3 linked regions of the Lepisosteus oculatus genome follow. Each later gene encodes a partner of the first gene's protein in a complex. Links are inferred from orthologs where the notes say so. Each region holds a gene or a part of one and is shown on either strand. Other genes may lie near its edges.

Region 1 (5,251 bases):
GAATGTCCACACTTTTCCTATCAGTTTCAGTTTCAAAGGTGCTCTCCAGTCCATGTTAAAGTTCAATTTCCCCAAAATAAAATCACCTTGGTCATAAAAATAGAGGATTACAAAAAGCACTCCAGTTTTATTGGTACACACTACACAAGAAAATACAAAATAAGCGGTCAGAAAGACTCCATTCGGCATACATCTGTCTGTTATACAGTTGGCTGGTTAAAGCCTAAATTACTCTTATGACCATCAACATACACTTCATCACCTGCTCCACAACAGCTACAACCGATCAAAGAAACTATTGGCCATTAAACAAGGGATACTCTGGGTGCACTAGTTCGCCACACTTTGTAGTAGGGTGATATTGTCTCCTTTCAGCATTATCCGTCCTGCAAGAGAAAGAAACAGGTCATTCAGATTAACCACGTATTTGTTTCAGCATCACCTAAATTGGACATATAGCCATTTTAATGTAGACTAGTACCAAAAAAAAAGCTAAAGTCATGGGCATCAAGACCAAAAAAAAAAATGCAAACATGCTTACCAAGGGGTTTTCTGGTTTTTGTTTTCATGTGAACCTCTTCAGCGTCATCAAGCACCAAGTTCATGTATTCATCAAAACCCTAAAATGAACAAAATTATAAGAGATGGTCAGGGAAAAAGAAGTGGGATTTAGTCAATGTAGATCCCTCAAAAATGACACACCTAATCTTCACAGAAAATTCATTTATGTGCAAACAGCAACACAAAAAACCTACTGCTTCCCTTGGCTAATATTATAACGAACTTTCTAACTGCTTCTTTAAATTCAGGGTAGCTGGGGAGCTGGAGCCTGTCCCAGCAAGCAACGGGCACAGGCAGGATACACCCTGGACAGGGCACCAGTCCACTGCAGGATGCACACACTAACAGAAATACGCACACATTTCCATCAGGGTCAAATTGTCCCTGAGGCCAATTAGCCTACCAGAATGGACTGTGGGAGGAGACTGGAGCACCTGTCAGAAACCCACATGAACACGAGGAAAACTTGCAGACTCTCACGGTGCTTGCTCTTTTCCCATAGACAAATCCCAGACCTTTTCCAGACTTTTACACTTTCAAAACCCTTCTATAACATTTGTCTCTGTTAAATATGTGCATGCTTTATTGACAATTTTCTTGTAACTGTCCATTCCAATAAAGAAATCCAATTAATGTACAAAGAATAAATATCCACATTCCAGTTTTCATCAGTTCAATGATTTAGAGGTCATTTAAGACTACCATCTGTTAAGATTGATCCCAATAGTAACGTTAAATCTCTTTAGAGATGTAATAGTGACCCATACAACCTGCTTGATTGGGGTCTTGAGAACTCTAGTTGGAGATCCCTGGAATAGAACATTGAGAACAACCCCCCATACAGAGAGTAGTATATACTACTATCACAAAATTACACTATAGCAATGTAACAGCTTTTAATTGGACCAACAGCAGTTCATCTGAGCCTGGCTTCATGTTCTTTTAAGGGAGCCAGAACCAAGTGCCAGGTCCTATATTAGGTATGATGCCACCCCCTTTCCAATACATTTGCAGTAGCAACTGCCATTTTAAACTACTTATAAAACCTGAAATGTATCAAACTGCCATTAAACCTGATCTGTATCCAATCCTGTGTCATGGAAAAATGGTACACCCTGCTGTGTGATATCAGAAGCAGAAAGCACAGCAACCGGGCTGGAGAAAAGGGGCAGTTCTGTGGAAGAGCTCAGGATTCACTCACAATAATGCAGCCTTCTATCCGCATGTTAACTTGTTCATACAGCCACACCTGGATCCTGGATCGCTGAGGAGGAGAGAGAACAGGAGTGAACTAGCTGAAGGAAAGATGTGGTTGAAGGCTTAAAAGCCCGCTCCAGTGTGACAGGAAAACCCTGTGAAAAGTGTCAGGACTGTTTTATCAGATTCTTTAACTGAGGTTACATACAGGCAGGCTACAAAATGTTCAGATCACCGACTCCTTCATTACAGAAAATGTTAATGATGTTCTTTGGAATACATTCTCAGCATTCATACACAGGCACCTAGCACATCATAAGCACGATCATGTAAAAATATTTTTTTGTAATTACGTGTTTGCTCTGGAAGCATGGAAACTTGAAAGACCTGGGTCTTCAACGGAGAATCCGTGTGTAGAAGTAGCCGATACATTGAACAAATGCAACCAAAGGCTAACTAATGACTTTGAAAGTAACTCAAAGAAACAAAACTTACATTTTGAAGATATCTGAAGATAAGATTCTGAAGGGATCAGTCAAGGAAAATTAGTTAATAAATTCTTCTCACATCACCTCCTTTATCAGTTTAAATGAATAAAGCCTTCGGTCTCCAGCGGGAATCCACACTTTTAAGATCACACGCGATATAAATAAAAAGCAAATAATGTAAATGCGCATGCCAATTACTAGTTTCTGAATCATTTACTGTTAAGAATCTAATACGTTCGTGATACCAAAACAAAAAACTAGCGAATTATGCCATGTTGGGTAAGGCCAGAGTTGAATAAACAATTTGTAGAATGCCCTTTTCTGATTTGAAACTATTACAAATTATTTCAATTTTAAAAAACGTACATATTAACCGAATAGAGGGGTATATCAGTCTGTTAATCACATAGAAGCATACGACAAGTCAGGTCAACATACCAAACGTAAATAGCAGTGTACGAACGCCGACAATGTAGACATAAAAAGAGTTCTTACTAGCTAGGCCAAACTACACAACATTTATGCACACCCGGCTCACACAACGCACGCAGAGTACTATGTGTTTCAAAGGATACAATCGGCTGCACCATAACCTTCTGAACCTTCTGTCCTTGGCCTCTGTACGCCATAGTCCTGTAAGTTCTGCTGGTTCAAAAAGAACTTTAAAAACAAACTTTCACAGAATTACTGGGGCCGGTCTTCCTGTCGAACACCGCGCTTCTTTTCTTCTCTCTGCGGACGGTGCCCCCACGCTGAACTTCCCTTCAATGGCGGAATTTCCGGGTCACCTCAAAGCAGCGTGGGACGTTGGAGGATCAAGTTTCTGGCCTCGGTAAGCTACAAAAATGTGTGCGCCATCTGCTGATGGGAGGTCGTTATACCATTACAATTGTATACTTCAATTGCACAGTACGACTACGGAAATAGGACATACGAAACAAAGTTTTTTTGGTTTAAGAACTGTAAAAAAGAGACAATATCATCCTAAAAGCAATATTTCGCCAAACGGAAGTGAAAATTACCACCTAATTTCTCATAAATGTTTAGGTACCTAGAATGATATCTAGCCCCAATTAAATGGACGATTGACAGAAGCTAACTCCGCAGGTCTTTGTGTTTTTGTATCAATAATGACAGAAATTACAGAATGTTTTTGCCTCCATTTACTAGCTTATCATTAAAAATATGCAATAAATGGGAGTGCCACTGAAAATGCAAACAAACCTATGGTTTTGAAAAAGGCATTTTTTATTTACAAATAAGTGAATTTTGGAAATGGTATACAGGCATTTAATTAGAACAGAAATTTAACTGACACAGAAAATAGGACAAGGAACCCAGTCCAGCCCCCTTAACAGACCATACATCTCAAATGTAGCAATATAGCCACTTTTAAGATTTGTGGTCAATGGTGAGAAAAATAAAATATAAACGTATTTCCCTCACATGAACACAACCTATTTCACTTTCTGAAAACATCCGCAGCCTGGTGACACACACCCGACTGAAATGTTTTAACTAGAGTACATATACTTTCATTCATACAGAACAGTGCAGAAGAAAAATGAGAAACAATATTCCCTCCACAAAAGACAGTCATCCCTGAGAAGCTTCAAGATTGTAAAATAAACTACTAGTTTTTCAGGGGGGAGAACACAGCACTATGTTGAGATAAAACATGATACGACACTCTTGAAAAATTAAAACATGGTCCCCAGTGGAATTTCAGCACCACATTTTAGATTAAGACACTCTTTAAATGATGTAAATTATAGTACACAATTACATTAAAGCAACTGGGTTTGCCTTTTGTGTTTTTAGTTTGTATCTCCTGTTTGCTAAAGTTACAAAACCCCTCCATCCTCTAGTGCTTCCAATGTAATGAATCATCTACAAATCCTATAATTGTTTTTTGAAGTGAAGATGTATGCCTTATGCAACAGGCTGCAGACAGTATTTCCAAAGAATGGAAGAGACCGCACACTGGCTGCACTGGTGATGTGTGAAAAGGGCTTTTGCACTAGAGCTGGTGTGCACTATGTAACAGAGAACTGAAATCCAATCCACAAACTGCACTGACTTTGTTGGCTGACACTCTTGAGTTATTTCCTTACTTTACGTGTACATAAAATAACCATTGTCAGAAGTTTAGCTCAGTTTTGCCTATCAGCACAAGCTGACAGTTCCAAGCAGATTTAATGGCAAACTCCACCAAACGCGGATATGTACCCTCCCTCTAAACTGATAAATTCCACTCAAGTAGTGCTCATTTCGTAATTAATACAGACTCCACTTAAAGGGATATACATATTGTAACAGAACAAGCCCTTTACCTGGCTGAACTAGGTCTATCTGTTTTTTTTTCAAATTTCATCCTACCCCACATGTAAAAGACCATTGTGTTCACAGTACAGTCAGTAAGATTTACAAATAAACATTTTTTGGAGGTCTTCCAGGACAATATAATGGAGTACAAATCACACACTGATGTGTGTGCAATAACAGGCAATTAAGCAGTTACAGGTCAGTCACTCCATTTTTTGGGGAAATAGCTCTGCAAACCTTGATATGAAGCCATGTTGAGCAATATCTTCAAGAGGACAGCAGGGCTGGGTGCAAAAAATGTGAATGCTAATCAGTAAATCCTAAAATTAAGTGTTGTTAGCTTGTTTTATTCCATTCCACAATCTCAGTTATTTCCAAGCTCAAAGTCTTCTTAGCCTATATAGAATAATAGGTGAAGGTGAAAATAACTATTCTGCACTTGACACCCATGGCAAGCATACAATTCAGACAAATATACATCAACACATGTTTCGGTCAAGCTGTGGGTCAGATTATGAGTAGCACTGAAAGATGTTCAATATTAGCATTAAACAAAAAAGATAGTGAATCTAACAGTAAGTGTAAGACTGCTTTGTATGGCAGTAGTCACAATTCCTAAAGCAGGCTTTTCCATTCTATACCTGAAGAATGAACAGAATATGAATGGTGTTTTCTTTGAA
Region 2 (5,251 bases), on another chromosome or scaffold:
TGTAGCAACTAAACTGCCAAACAAGCAATATGGTCAATTGTTTCCTTTTATGCAGTAATACATATATAATTAGGGATCGTCAATGATTTCAAATTAGAAACTGTCTAATCCAGTGATTCCTAACCCTGGTACAGGAGAAACACTGCTTTTTTTTTCCTTCCAACTGAGCTCTATATCTCCATATCTCTATCTGACTTAACAGATCTGCATGCTTTTTTAGCAATTTATTTATCTTGTTTCTTTGTCTTGAATGCCACACATACCCTACTGTAAGGGTACTGTTTCCAACAACTACAGCACACAAACCTGTATGCAGTCTGTTCTCAAATTGCCGTCTAACTAATCACTGGTTGATAATGAACAGACACAGGTGGGAGTGAGAGTTTATCAGACATTCCCAGAATAGGCAGTTTTATTTTTCTTCTGCAGGAAGGTACAGTGAGTACTTCTCAGGCAGCACACACGCACGACACTCAGAAGTCGGTACGTGCTTGATACCAATTACGAATCCCATTTGGTATTTTAAGAGCTGAAAGCACATTTCCAAATGCGCACCGAAAACAGAACTGAAATCAACTACCTGCGATAAAATACACGGCTGGAGAAAAAAACACGGATATGAGCTACTCTTATCACTGAACTAAACTGTAAACACGCTGTACGGAGCTGTGTCAATCGGGATAGAGGGCTCAGTCACGGATGTTAACTCCATTTACGTGACCGGTGAATAAATGTACCTACCACGCTACTGTACGACCCAGGGTTTATTTACAGTTAATTCGATAGTGGTTCGTGTAGTGTTTTAACTTGTTTTACACGCAGGACAAGAAGTGCATAGCAGGTTGAAGGACATCTGTGCTCAGCCGCAAAGCGAACTTCTGAAACCAGTCACACCACTGCTCCTCTTAATTTATTTTCAGATGCCTGACGAGAAACAGTCGTGTACATTAAAACACTTAACACCTGTGGTAACAGGGCCCGCAACACCTCGACAGCACGACGGGACCTTTCCTGGAGCCTCGAAATCGTTGAATATGTTAATTTCCAACAAGGGCTGATTTAAAACAAAAACAAAGCGGGACCATCCCAAATCATCCAGTTCGTCGACACGGAGTACTACGCTAACGCTCCATCTTACCTGTCATTCTGTGCTGCTTGTTTTTTATATAATGCTGTTAAGTCCTTTTCACTTTCTGCGCACGATCTGGCGATTTTCAGAGAGGAAACCGTCTCAGCACCACGGCGCTGGGTCTGTTCGCCGGACATGAACATTAGGAGCCACAGTTACGACCCCGGTCCGGGCCGCCTCTCTCCGGCACTACAGTGCTGATCTGCTGGGCACCTCTGCCTGCATCTCCGCCGTACGCAATTTCCTCTTGCAAAACGAGGACTTCCACAGACGCTCATTTGAAAACCGCTGCGCCTACAGCGCCCTCTAAACACAGTCAAGGAGGGACGAGAACTAGAATAAATAGGCTGTTCTTATAATATATTGTACTCCAGTGTACTACTCGTGACAGTAGATGGTGAGATATTCGGGGCGATCACAAATTATTGGGGAGCAACTTACAACTGGCTATTTCTTTTTTTATTTTAGTTTTGTTGGGTAGCTGCTTAGAGCCATTCTTAAACGTCACAAAATCAAGTGCATCTTCAACTTGTTTTTCTTTCCTTTTCAGAAAAAGAAGGGGTTTGGAATAAACCCAGCAAGTGACGAAGAAGAAGGTTTAATGAAATAATAAGAACTTATACATTGATGAGAGTTACTGTATATCTTTACAAATGTTTTTCGTAGCACAGTAAAAAAAAGTTGGAGCAACAGAACATGTTTCCTCCTTGTGTGGTATTTAGTAAAAAGAAAGCCCGTTATACTTATTTTCATTCTTGAGAAATTTTAGAAGACGTTATGTTGGTTAAACTACAAATCCCAACATTCATCATAACGACGGAAAAACCCAAATCGAACCGGAAGCACTTTGTGACTTCCTTTAACGCGTTGCATTGTGGGGTATTGGAAACGAACAAAATCGTACTCCGAGGCGGTCAGGTTTTAAACACGCTGCCGTTCACGATTAAAACCGGGAAACGGTTAAATAAGAGAAGGAATTCAATATTTGCTGTGAACAGGTAAGAATTTTATGTTTCATTACAAGTTGTAAGATATTACCTTTCTTTTAACGAAGGGAATCAAGATTATGAGTTCGTTGAAGGTAGGAAATGAACTTGATTTGAATGGCGTGGAAATACTTTACGTTAGAAAACAAATATACCTTCTCCTGAAGTATTTTCTCCCAGATGCAAAACAAAAACTTTTTTTTGCTAATGAGATGGGTTTTTTTTTTCCCATAGCTAAAGCTACCCAAGTCTCTTTGGGCTTTGCCATAACACAAAGGCCGTGTCGAAGTAGAGACCGTTTGTTCTCATTTACTGCTTTGAAGAATATGTTTCGAAAGTGCAGAATATCTGCTTCGAAGATTGTTTTAGTGAATGTTGCTTAACGCACTGGTCTATTATCTATAAAAAGAGTTGCCTAATTTTTTTTTTAATCTTGTGAAGTGCACATTATCACATCTATTTTGTAAAATGTATGCTAACAAACTGTCAAAAAAGTTAAAAGTACTAGTGAATTTTGCTCTGGGGTCCATCTTGATCACTGATAGTATATACCAGGTTAAATCAGATTGCTCTTTAGACTCGAACTAAACATGCGTACCTATGAGTAAATGCATCCAGTATCCAGGTTTTGATTCCTTTGTGAACAGCTAATGGCCTGCTTGGTCCATACAAACCCTTTACAATTGTCTAAATTCAAAATCTAATACTCGTTACTGAATGCATTTTAATCTTGTTACCTAATAACAGGCATTTACAAAAACGTGTGATGTGTAACCTTAACTTGTGTACAAACTGAGCTGCAGGACAGAATCTAATTTATCGGGCATGGGGTAGAGATGCTGGCTTTTTCCAAGGTATCCAGAAGCATGGTTTTTGTGTGTTCTAGCCTAATATTGCTCACCTGGAATTATTTGCCTCCCTGTCATGGTGTTTGTTTAGAGGTCCCAGTTAAAATGTCCATCGGAGTGCCTATCAAAGTTCTGCATGAGGCCGAGGGTCACATCGTCACCTGTGAAACCAACACGGGCGAAGTGTACAGAGGAAAGCTTATAGAAGCAGAGGACAATATGAACTGCCAGGTAAGCCTGATAAGTGGTTGAGATGAGAAATGCCAGGGGTCACAAAACCAAGCAAACCTTTTAGGCCAGTGACCCCATATAATTTCACACATTATGTGCTTTTGATGGATTCTTTGAATTAATCTCATGCAGAGTTGTGCACATGCAAGTGAATTTAAAGCTGCTTTTTTTTGTCTTCCAGATGTCTAATATCACTGTGACATACAGAGATGGACGTGTGGCGCAGTTGGAACAGGTCTATATCCGGGGCAGCAAGATAAGATTTCTAATCCTGCCGGACATGTTGAAAAACGCCCCCATGTTGAAGAGTATGAAGAACAAAAACCAGGGCTCTGGAGCTGGAAGAGGGAAGGCTGCCATTCTCAAAGCTCAAGGTATGTTGTTCACCAGACTCCAATTCAGAGGACAGTTCTCCAGGTGGTGTGTTTCTGTAGAGGACTTCAGCGTGATCAGCAGAACCCTACAGAAATATCAAAGTTATTGGTTTTTATTAAATTTATTCCTTAGCGTCCATCGTACTGATGACTGTCTTGAAATAAAGTAACGCCAGCTAGAAAGTGCTCTTCGATCACCACCTGCTGACGTGTGCATCGTTACTTGGTTCTACACCTACGTAATGACCTGGGTTAAAACTCCTTAGGTTTAGGTGCATGGGTTAAGGCCTTCATTAGAAGTAAGACATTCGTATCAGGTCACGTGGCTGCTAATAAGTTACTGATCTGAGGGGCCTGTCATTTCTTGAACGATGGAACTTATTCCAGAGCAGCAGTATTGTTGGTAATCTGTTGATCGGCATTGCCAGTTAGTGCAGCTTGTTTGCAATTATAGGGTGATTAACACGTACTGTATATTGTGTCCACTTTTTTCTTTTTAAGTGGCTGCGAGAGGAAGAGGCCGCGGGGGAATGGGAAGAGGAAATATTTTCCAGAAGAGACGATAACCCTCAATGTGCACTTCATGGCCTTTTCTTACTGTACAGTTTTTTTAAAAGGTTGGGTGATCATTCACGATGTTGTCTGTTAAAAGGCAAATCATTTTTGATTTTTTTTTTCTGGCAAGTTTTTTAGGTGCTCAATAAAAATAGGTATAATGTCCAGTGTTTGTGCAGCTCCTTTACTTTCACATTTTAACAAATCAATATTCAGTCAGTACTGTCTTTAACATTTGATTTACTGCAGTCGAATCTACATGAAAGGGGCAGCTGTTTATGTAATTCAACATATTGATCCTCATAACAGCCTTTAGGTTTGGTCTAAAGATGATTTTCAACTTCTGTCACTTTTGTACTGACTTATAATGAAGTTTGTATTGTAAGAAATGTCGGGTTTCCATTCAGTCTTGTTTCAAAAACATAATTCACCTTATGAGCTTCTCCAGAATTGATGCATTGATAAAATAATGTCTAGTGGACAACATAGTCTGGTTTTGTTTTAATAGTAATTCATATCTTTGGCCGTTAAATAAAAAACTTATGTTGAACATGAGTGCAGCTGTGCCTTTTTTTTTACTCTTCAGGTTTCATACTTTGTTCCCAGTGATCTGCTGGTGTTTCAGTTTTGTGTAATCTAAATCTGGCAGCTTACACATCTTCCACTCTAGTGTCTCTGAAGCTCCCTCTTAATTCAGCTGAAGCCATTTCTGACTCCCCCACCTGATCTGCTCTGTAGAGGAGCTGTTGGTGCACATCTACCACTTCTCTCAGGTGGGTGCTGCTCTTTGGCAGTGGGTGAAGTGCACATTCAAATATGCAGAGTGTGTTGAGGTGAAATGTTATAGAAATCCAATACATTAGAATATAGAGACTGATATAGTTTTACCGACGAGGCCAGTGCCATTCATGCAACATGCCTGATTCAAATAGTTTCAAAGTACTTTGTGGAGAAATCAGAAGTAGGGTGGTCTCATCTTGGGATAAATGTCCTGGGTTTTATGTGAAGTGTTTGAACAGTGAATAACACTGTCACGGCTGGACTGCTATATATATATATGTAACTTTTTTAGAAAAAAATATGGCAGGGTTTTGTTTGCATGTACAGTTAAGAAAATACACAAACATC
Region 3 (5,251 bases), about 26 Mb from region 1:
CACTGTTGAAATTAAGGCTTCAGACTCAATTTACTCTATTGATAACCTAGCTAGAAATATGTTCTGTATTTGTTTCTCACTATACAGAACAAGAACTTCAACATTCCACAATGGCTCAGTAAGAGAAAGACTTCCACCGCTATCGTGTCTATGTACTATTGTCACCATCTAGTGTTAGAGAACAGGCTTGCATTTGTAAAGCTCAGTTCCACCAAAATCAATTTCTCATGTTTAATATATCACTAAACGCCTTACAATCCAAAATTACTAAAGATATATGCATATAATAGGTACATTTGTATTGTACCTTTGTCTTATTGAAGATTTATTCAATGTAACCACTGCAGTCATCAATGACATACATACCCTTTCCCGTTTGTGTCATGTCCTTTATCTCCATCCTAAACACCCTAGCTTTTCAGTCTATAAAAATTACAAAATGTTTCCTAGAAATTCAATGTTAAAAATATGGATCTAAACAACACCTTCCATTTATAAATATTTTTTCTACATATATATAGATTTCCCACGGGGTGCTTTGTTTTCATGCAAGGAAGGGTTTAAATCGCTCAGTGGTAGAAATGCTGTCTGTATGCTGCCATGTAATTTTGCAAACAGCCTATCTGGTGTTCGTTTAATATGCCATGTAAACTGTCAGTTGTCTGTCCATCTTGGGAAGTGAAAAACAAGGACAAATATGTCAGCAGGTTTTCAAAGTCTCTTAAAAGCAACAGCAGCTGACAAACTGGGAGAAGCGGTATTTACAGTAAATTGATTAGGTTAAGCCAGTAACGGCTAGTTACTGTCAATCACACTGGCCCTTGGATAGCAGTGTGGTCTGGATACCACAGTAGTACCCTTAGGAAAATAACCTTGAAGTTTTATATAAAATGCCAGAAGCTTCTATAAATACCTATAAGTCATCCATAAGTGATTTTCATAAGGATATCCATCCATCTATTTTCTAAGCACTTATCTGATTTAGGGTTGCAGGGGAGTTGGAGCCTATCCCAACAAGCAATAGGCACAAAGCAGAAAACACTTTGGACAGAACTCCAGTCCATCACAAGGTAGATACACAGACACACAGACACACCAGGGCCAATTTTCCCAGAAGCTAATTAACCTACCAGAATATCTGTGGATTGTGGGAGTCAACCAGAGCAACCGAAGGCAGCTCACGTGACCACAGGGAGAACATACAAACTCCACACAGATAGAACCCCAGGTGCACAATTGAACCCAGGGTCCCAGTGCTGCAAGACAGCAATGCTAACCACTGCAACCAACATGCTGCATTTCATAAGGGTATACATAACACAGTCCTCTTCAAGACTGATTGCAAACCAGCAAGTTTCAAGGAATAATTCATTGTATGCTTTCAATAACAATATTGTAACTGCAGACATGTTAATGTCTGTGTGCACATCCAAGGAACAAAAACAAACTATTTGAGTTCAGTTCAATGAAAGCAATTTACCAAGCAAATATGCTGTTGTTTTATCCAACTACAATTTAAAGAAGGGGGCCTTTACAAACAGTACAGTTTTTATAACAGTTTAGTATCTAAATCCCCCCAAACTCCCTATCAGTTGTGTCACATGGGTTTCAACATTTTAACTATAAAAAGGAGATAAAGTAATTAATGCATAGAAGAAAGTGTTATAAGCTCTTCATTCTGTATGAAAGGGTATTTGAACTTAGCTGTTTTTATGGCAAACTATAGTTTTATTGTTATTAATAGTTGTATTACTACTGAAAGTAATTAAATGGTACAAGTGTTGCTGAAATACCTTTGCCCTCTTATTTAAATGGTTGTTGCTGGTACAGAATTGAATGTTACCATTAAATGAAACTAAACTGCATTCCAAAACAACCCAATCTTAGATTCTGGAAACTCTGGAGGAGCACTTGCAAATTCTTAGATACTCTCTAGTACCATGATTTAAGATGACATGGTAAATAAAATAGTTTTAATTGAAATAAGACTAAAAGCAGCTGATGTGATACATTTAAAGTTATAAGTTTATTAAAAATGGCTTGACACATTTATTTGGTGTTTTCCACGAGAATTGTTCATATCTAAAAACGATTTTTTTGCGACCAAAAGACTATTTGTCCCATATGACACTCCGTAGAGCCTCTGACCCGTTCCGCGTTGCAGTCTGGGATATCGGAGGTTCTAGTTGTTGTGGAGCGTAATGTAAGATACAATTCATAGGATAAATAAGGTTTCTTTTTGTCATAATTAAATATCTAAGGCTTTAAAATAGAATGCCAAACATTTTATATTATACATTTAAAAGTGTTACATGTAAATCCGTTCAGATCGTTTTAGGTACAAATTATTACAATGTCGGTTTGTAGCTGAACAGCGTTCAATGAAAATTTTCGTACGTTCTCAAAAGGAATATTGTTGAATAATGTCAAAATTAACAGTACAATATTTTTATTTGTTTCGGGATTCTGCTCTATAATTTGTTTTAATTTACACGGTCTAACACAGGTTTCCGAATCTATCAAAACAGTAAAAGTTTCTAGCTTCAACAAATGTGCGTTGAACGCCTTTCTTTTTGTAATCCAGTACCGTGGGATTTCAGTTTAAGAAGCCAAACGTGAAATGTAGCGTTTTTTCACAGGCGTATTCTAAGTCTTCTATCATCGCATGCTAATAAATCTTGGATTTACGACTTTCTTACGTATTACAGCAACTTTGAGGCACTGAACGATAATGTTACACGCATGAACATGTGTCCCATTGCACAGAGGTGGAGGTGTCGGAACTACGTGCTTGGCTGCAGAAAACTGCTGTAATGAGTTTCACCAGGTTTACTTACGGCTGAGAACGAGAGGACCATCAATTGGCACTTGCGCGTAACACTGCCGTTTAAAAAGTTTGCTTCTTGAGCACAGTGAAAATATTGCCCTTTGCTCCGTTTTGCGTTTTTCCAGTGAGTGACGATGACTACAGCTGCCAGGCCTACCTTTGAGCCCGCGAGAGGAGGGAGAGGCAAAGGAGAAGGAGACCTCAGTGCTCTGTCCAAACAGTACTCCAGCAGGGATTTACCTTCTCACACCAAAATCAAATACAGGTTAGGCCTGCTAATCCAGAGTTGGGGTGGGGGGGATTTTATTTAGCAGTAGGTTCAACCACTCCTTGATTGTGAATGCTTCTATTTGTACCTTGTATATGATTTGAACCATGTATAGGTTTATTTGTACCTAAAGTTATTTATCTTGCAATAGTCATTATTTTTTTTCTGTGTAAAGAAGATTGGCAGGTGATGTTCTCACTCAGCACCTTCTTCTGAGAATGAAATTTGTCTTTTGGGGGTGTCTGGAAGTACATAAGCTCGACAGTATAGGTAGATTTCATTTTGAGGTAGAATTTTGAATTAGTTCCCTACTTTGCAACACATCTAAGTCTCCTTGTCTTGTCCTGTTTGCCAAGTATCTTCTGTGCTCACACACATGATATTTCTCTCAGGCAGCCCACCCAGGATGCCCCCGAGGAGGTGCGTGCCCGGGACTTCCGCAGGGAGCTGGAGGAGAGGGAGCGAGTGGTGGTCAGGGAGAAGACCAGGGACAGGCCAGCCAGAGGTGAACGGCACAGCACTAGCAGTTCAGGTTGTGCCGAGGCCTCCGAGCCAAGGCACCCATACTGTTTTTCAAAACCTGTGTGATGGGCAGGAGGAAATTGTGTCCGTTTGTCTTTTTGTCAGAATTAAAGGGGCACTGCAACACTATTTTAATATTTCGGGGTTAGAAAGGATTCAGCATCGATGAGGGCATTTCAAACCACAATAAAAGTAAAATGTGCACAGTAACTTGTAAAACCTCCAATTTACATTAAAAATGGATGAAATTTCCAGGTATGCACAGTGTTATATTCAGGGTTTCAGAACAAAATTTCTGGTGAGGTGTTGCAGCCCTGTGACTCTGTGAACAAGCAGGCTTGTGAATACATCTCATTTAATACATCTCTCGACTTTCAGATGGTTTTGCCAACAAATACAACTTATTTGTTAACTCTGTATGCAGATCACGTTGGAACATTTCTGCGGTGAAGTGTCTGCTGCACAGCCTGTCCTTATCCACTCATACATCACATTACATTAGTCATTACGGTGACTAGTGAGCAGGATGGGCTGCATCATGTCACAGTCCGTGGGAAGTGTTGCTCTTGCCTGCGGTGAGACCAGGGGTTTGCGATAACATGTCCACAGTACTTTCACAAATTTCGCGATTTTGTGCTTCATTCAAAATTTGTATTTTTTTTTCCTATAACGTTGATAAATTTGTTTTGTAACGGAGATTTAATAACCAGTCTGAGAAATTCTGACTGCAGTTCCCGTTTAAATGACTCCACAGCCATAGTCGATTTAAGGGCCTCTTGAGCTCATGCAGTGTTGTATATGAATCAAAGGCTTCTTGATGGATGTTAATACCCATGGTCTTGTTTTATTCCAGAGCACACCACATCCTCCTCCTCTTCTTCCAAGAGGCCACGGTTAGACCAGATCCCAGCAGCCAACCTGGATGCTGATGATCCTCTCACGGATGTAGGTGCCCTTAATAAAAATAAACTGATTTTATTTCCGAATTCAAAATCTTGTGGTTGGGGAAAATGACAGCTGGTGTGTGTGCGTGCTCCTAAACTGTGTCTCTCTGCCAGGATGAGGAGGAGGATGAGGACTCTGAAGAGGACAGTGATGACGACACAGCTGCCCTGCTGGCTGAACTGGACAAGATCAAAAAGGAGCGCGCAGAGGAACAGGAACGCAAGGTAATTCACGCCACATTCAGCAGCACTCAGCCTTTTCACAGGCTGCCTGGATGGACTGACTGTGCCTCAGTTGGGTCAGTGCTCTCCAGCAGCTCAGAGGTTCTATGAACAGGGGAAGAGTAAAATTTGTTCAAATTGTTCAGCTTGCTATTATTTCTGGGGGTGGAGCGGGGGCTCTGTGGCTAAGGATCTGCGCCTGTGGCTGGAAGGTTGCCGGTTCAAATCCCGCAGCCGGCAGAGGAATCCTACTCCGTTGGGCCACTGAGCAAGGCCCTTGACCCCAACTGCTCCAGGGGCGCTGTACAATGGCAGACCCTGTGCTCTGACCCCAGGCTCTCTCCCTATCCGTGTGTCTGTGTGTCTCATGGAGAGCAAGCTGGGGTATGTGAAAAGACAAATTCCTAATGCAAGTAATTGTATAGGGTTAATAAAGTGATATTATTATTAAAAAGAGAGAAGAAACAG

Evidence for each region.
Region 2: snrpe (region 1) and small nuclear ribonucleoprotein Sm D3 share a complex: the UniProt entries of both Homo sapiens proteins name them as parts of the U7 snRNP complex. The link is inferred for Lepisosteus oculatus from reciprocal best matches to the Homo sapiens genes SNRPE and SNRPD3.
Region 3: snrpe (region 1) and cwc15 share a complex: the UniProt entries of both Homo sapiens proteins name them as parts of the minor spliceosome. The link is inferred for Lepisosteus oculatus from reciprocal best matches to the Homo sapiens genes SNRPE and CWC15.

What each region holds. Positions count from the first base shown.
Region 1 is NC_090700.1:38,045,478-38,050,728, forward strand, and holds snrpe (small nuclear ribonucleoprotein E), read right to left. Parts: upstream 3,006-5,251; 5' UTR 2,876-3,005; coding exon 2,822-2,875; intron 2,281-2,821; coding exon 2,254-2,280; intron 1,826-2,253; coding exon 1,763-1,825; intron 621-1,762; coding exon 542-620; intron 387-541; coding exon 331-386; 3' UTR 101-330; downstream 1-100. UniProt on the Homo sapiens protein: Plays a role in pre-mRNA splicing as a core component of the spliceosomal U1, U2, U4 and U5 small nuclear ribonucleoproteins (snRNPs), the building blocks of the spliceosome.
Region 2 is NC_090717.1:9,777,283-9,782,533, reverse strand, and holds small nuclear ribonucleoprotein Sm D3, read left to right. Parts: upstream 1-1,981; 5' UTR 1,982-2,127; intron 2,128-3,054; 5' UTR 3,055-3,068; coding exon 3,069-3,194; intron 3,195-3,375; coding exon 3,376-3,568; intron 3,569-4,069; coding exon 4,070-4,134; 3' UTR 4,135-4,676; downstream 4,677-5,251. Other genes in the region: protein GUCD1, read right to left, coding at 1,139-1,145. UniProt on the Homo sapiens protein: Plays a role in pre-mRNA splicing as a core component of the spliceosomal U1, U2, U4 and U5 small nuclear ribonucleoproteins (snRNPs), the building blocks of the spliceosome.
Region 3 is NC_090700.1:12,135,798-12,141,048, reverse strand, and holds the start of cwc15 (protein CWC15 homolog), read left to right. Parts: upstream 1-2,141; 5' UTR 2,142-2,203; intron 2,204-2,952; 5' UTR 2,953-2,961; coding exon 2,962-3,092; intron 3,093-3,487; coding exon 3,488-3,600; intron 3,601-4,470; coding exon 4,471-4,562; intron 4,563-4,675; coding exon 4,676-4,786; intron 4,787-5,251. UniProt on the Homo sapiens protein: Involved in pre-mRNA splicing as component of the spliceosome. Component of the PRP19-CDC5L complex that forms an integral part of the spliceosome and is required for activating pre-mRNA splicing.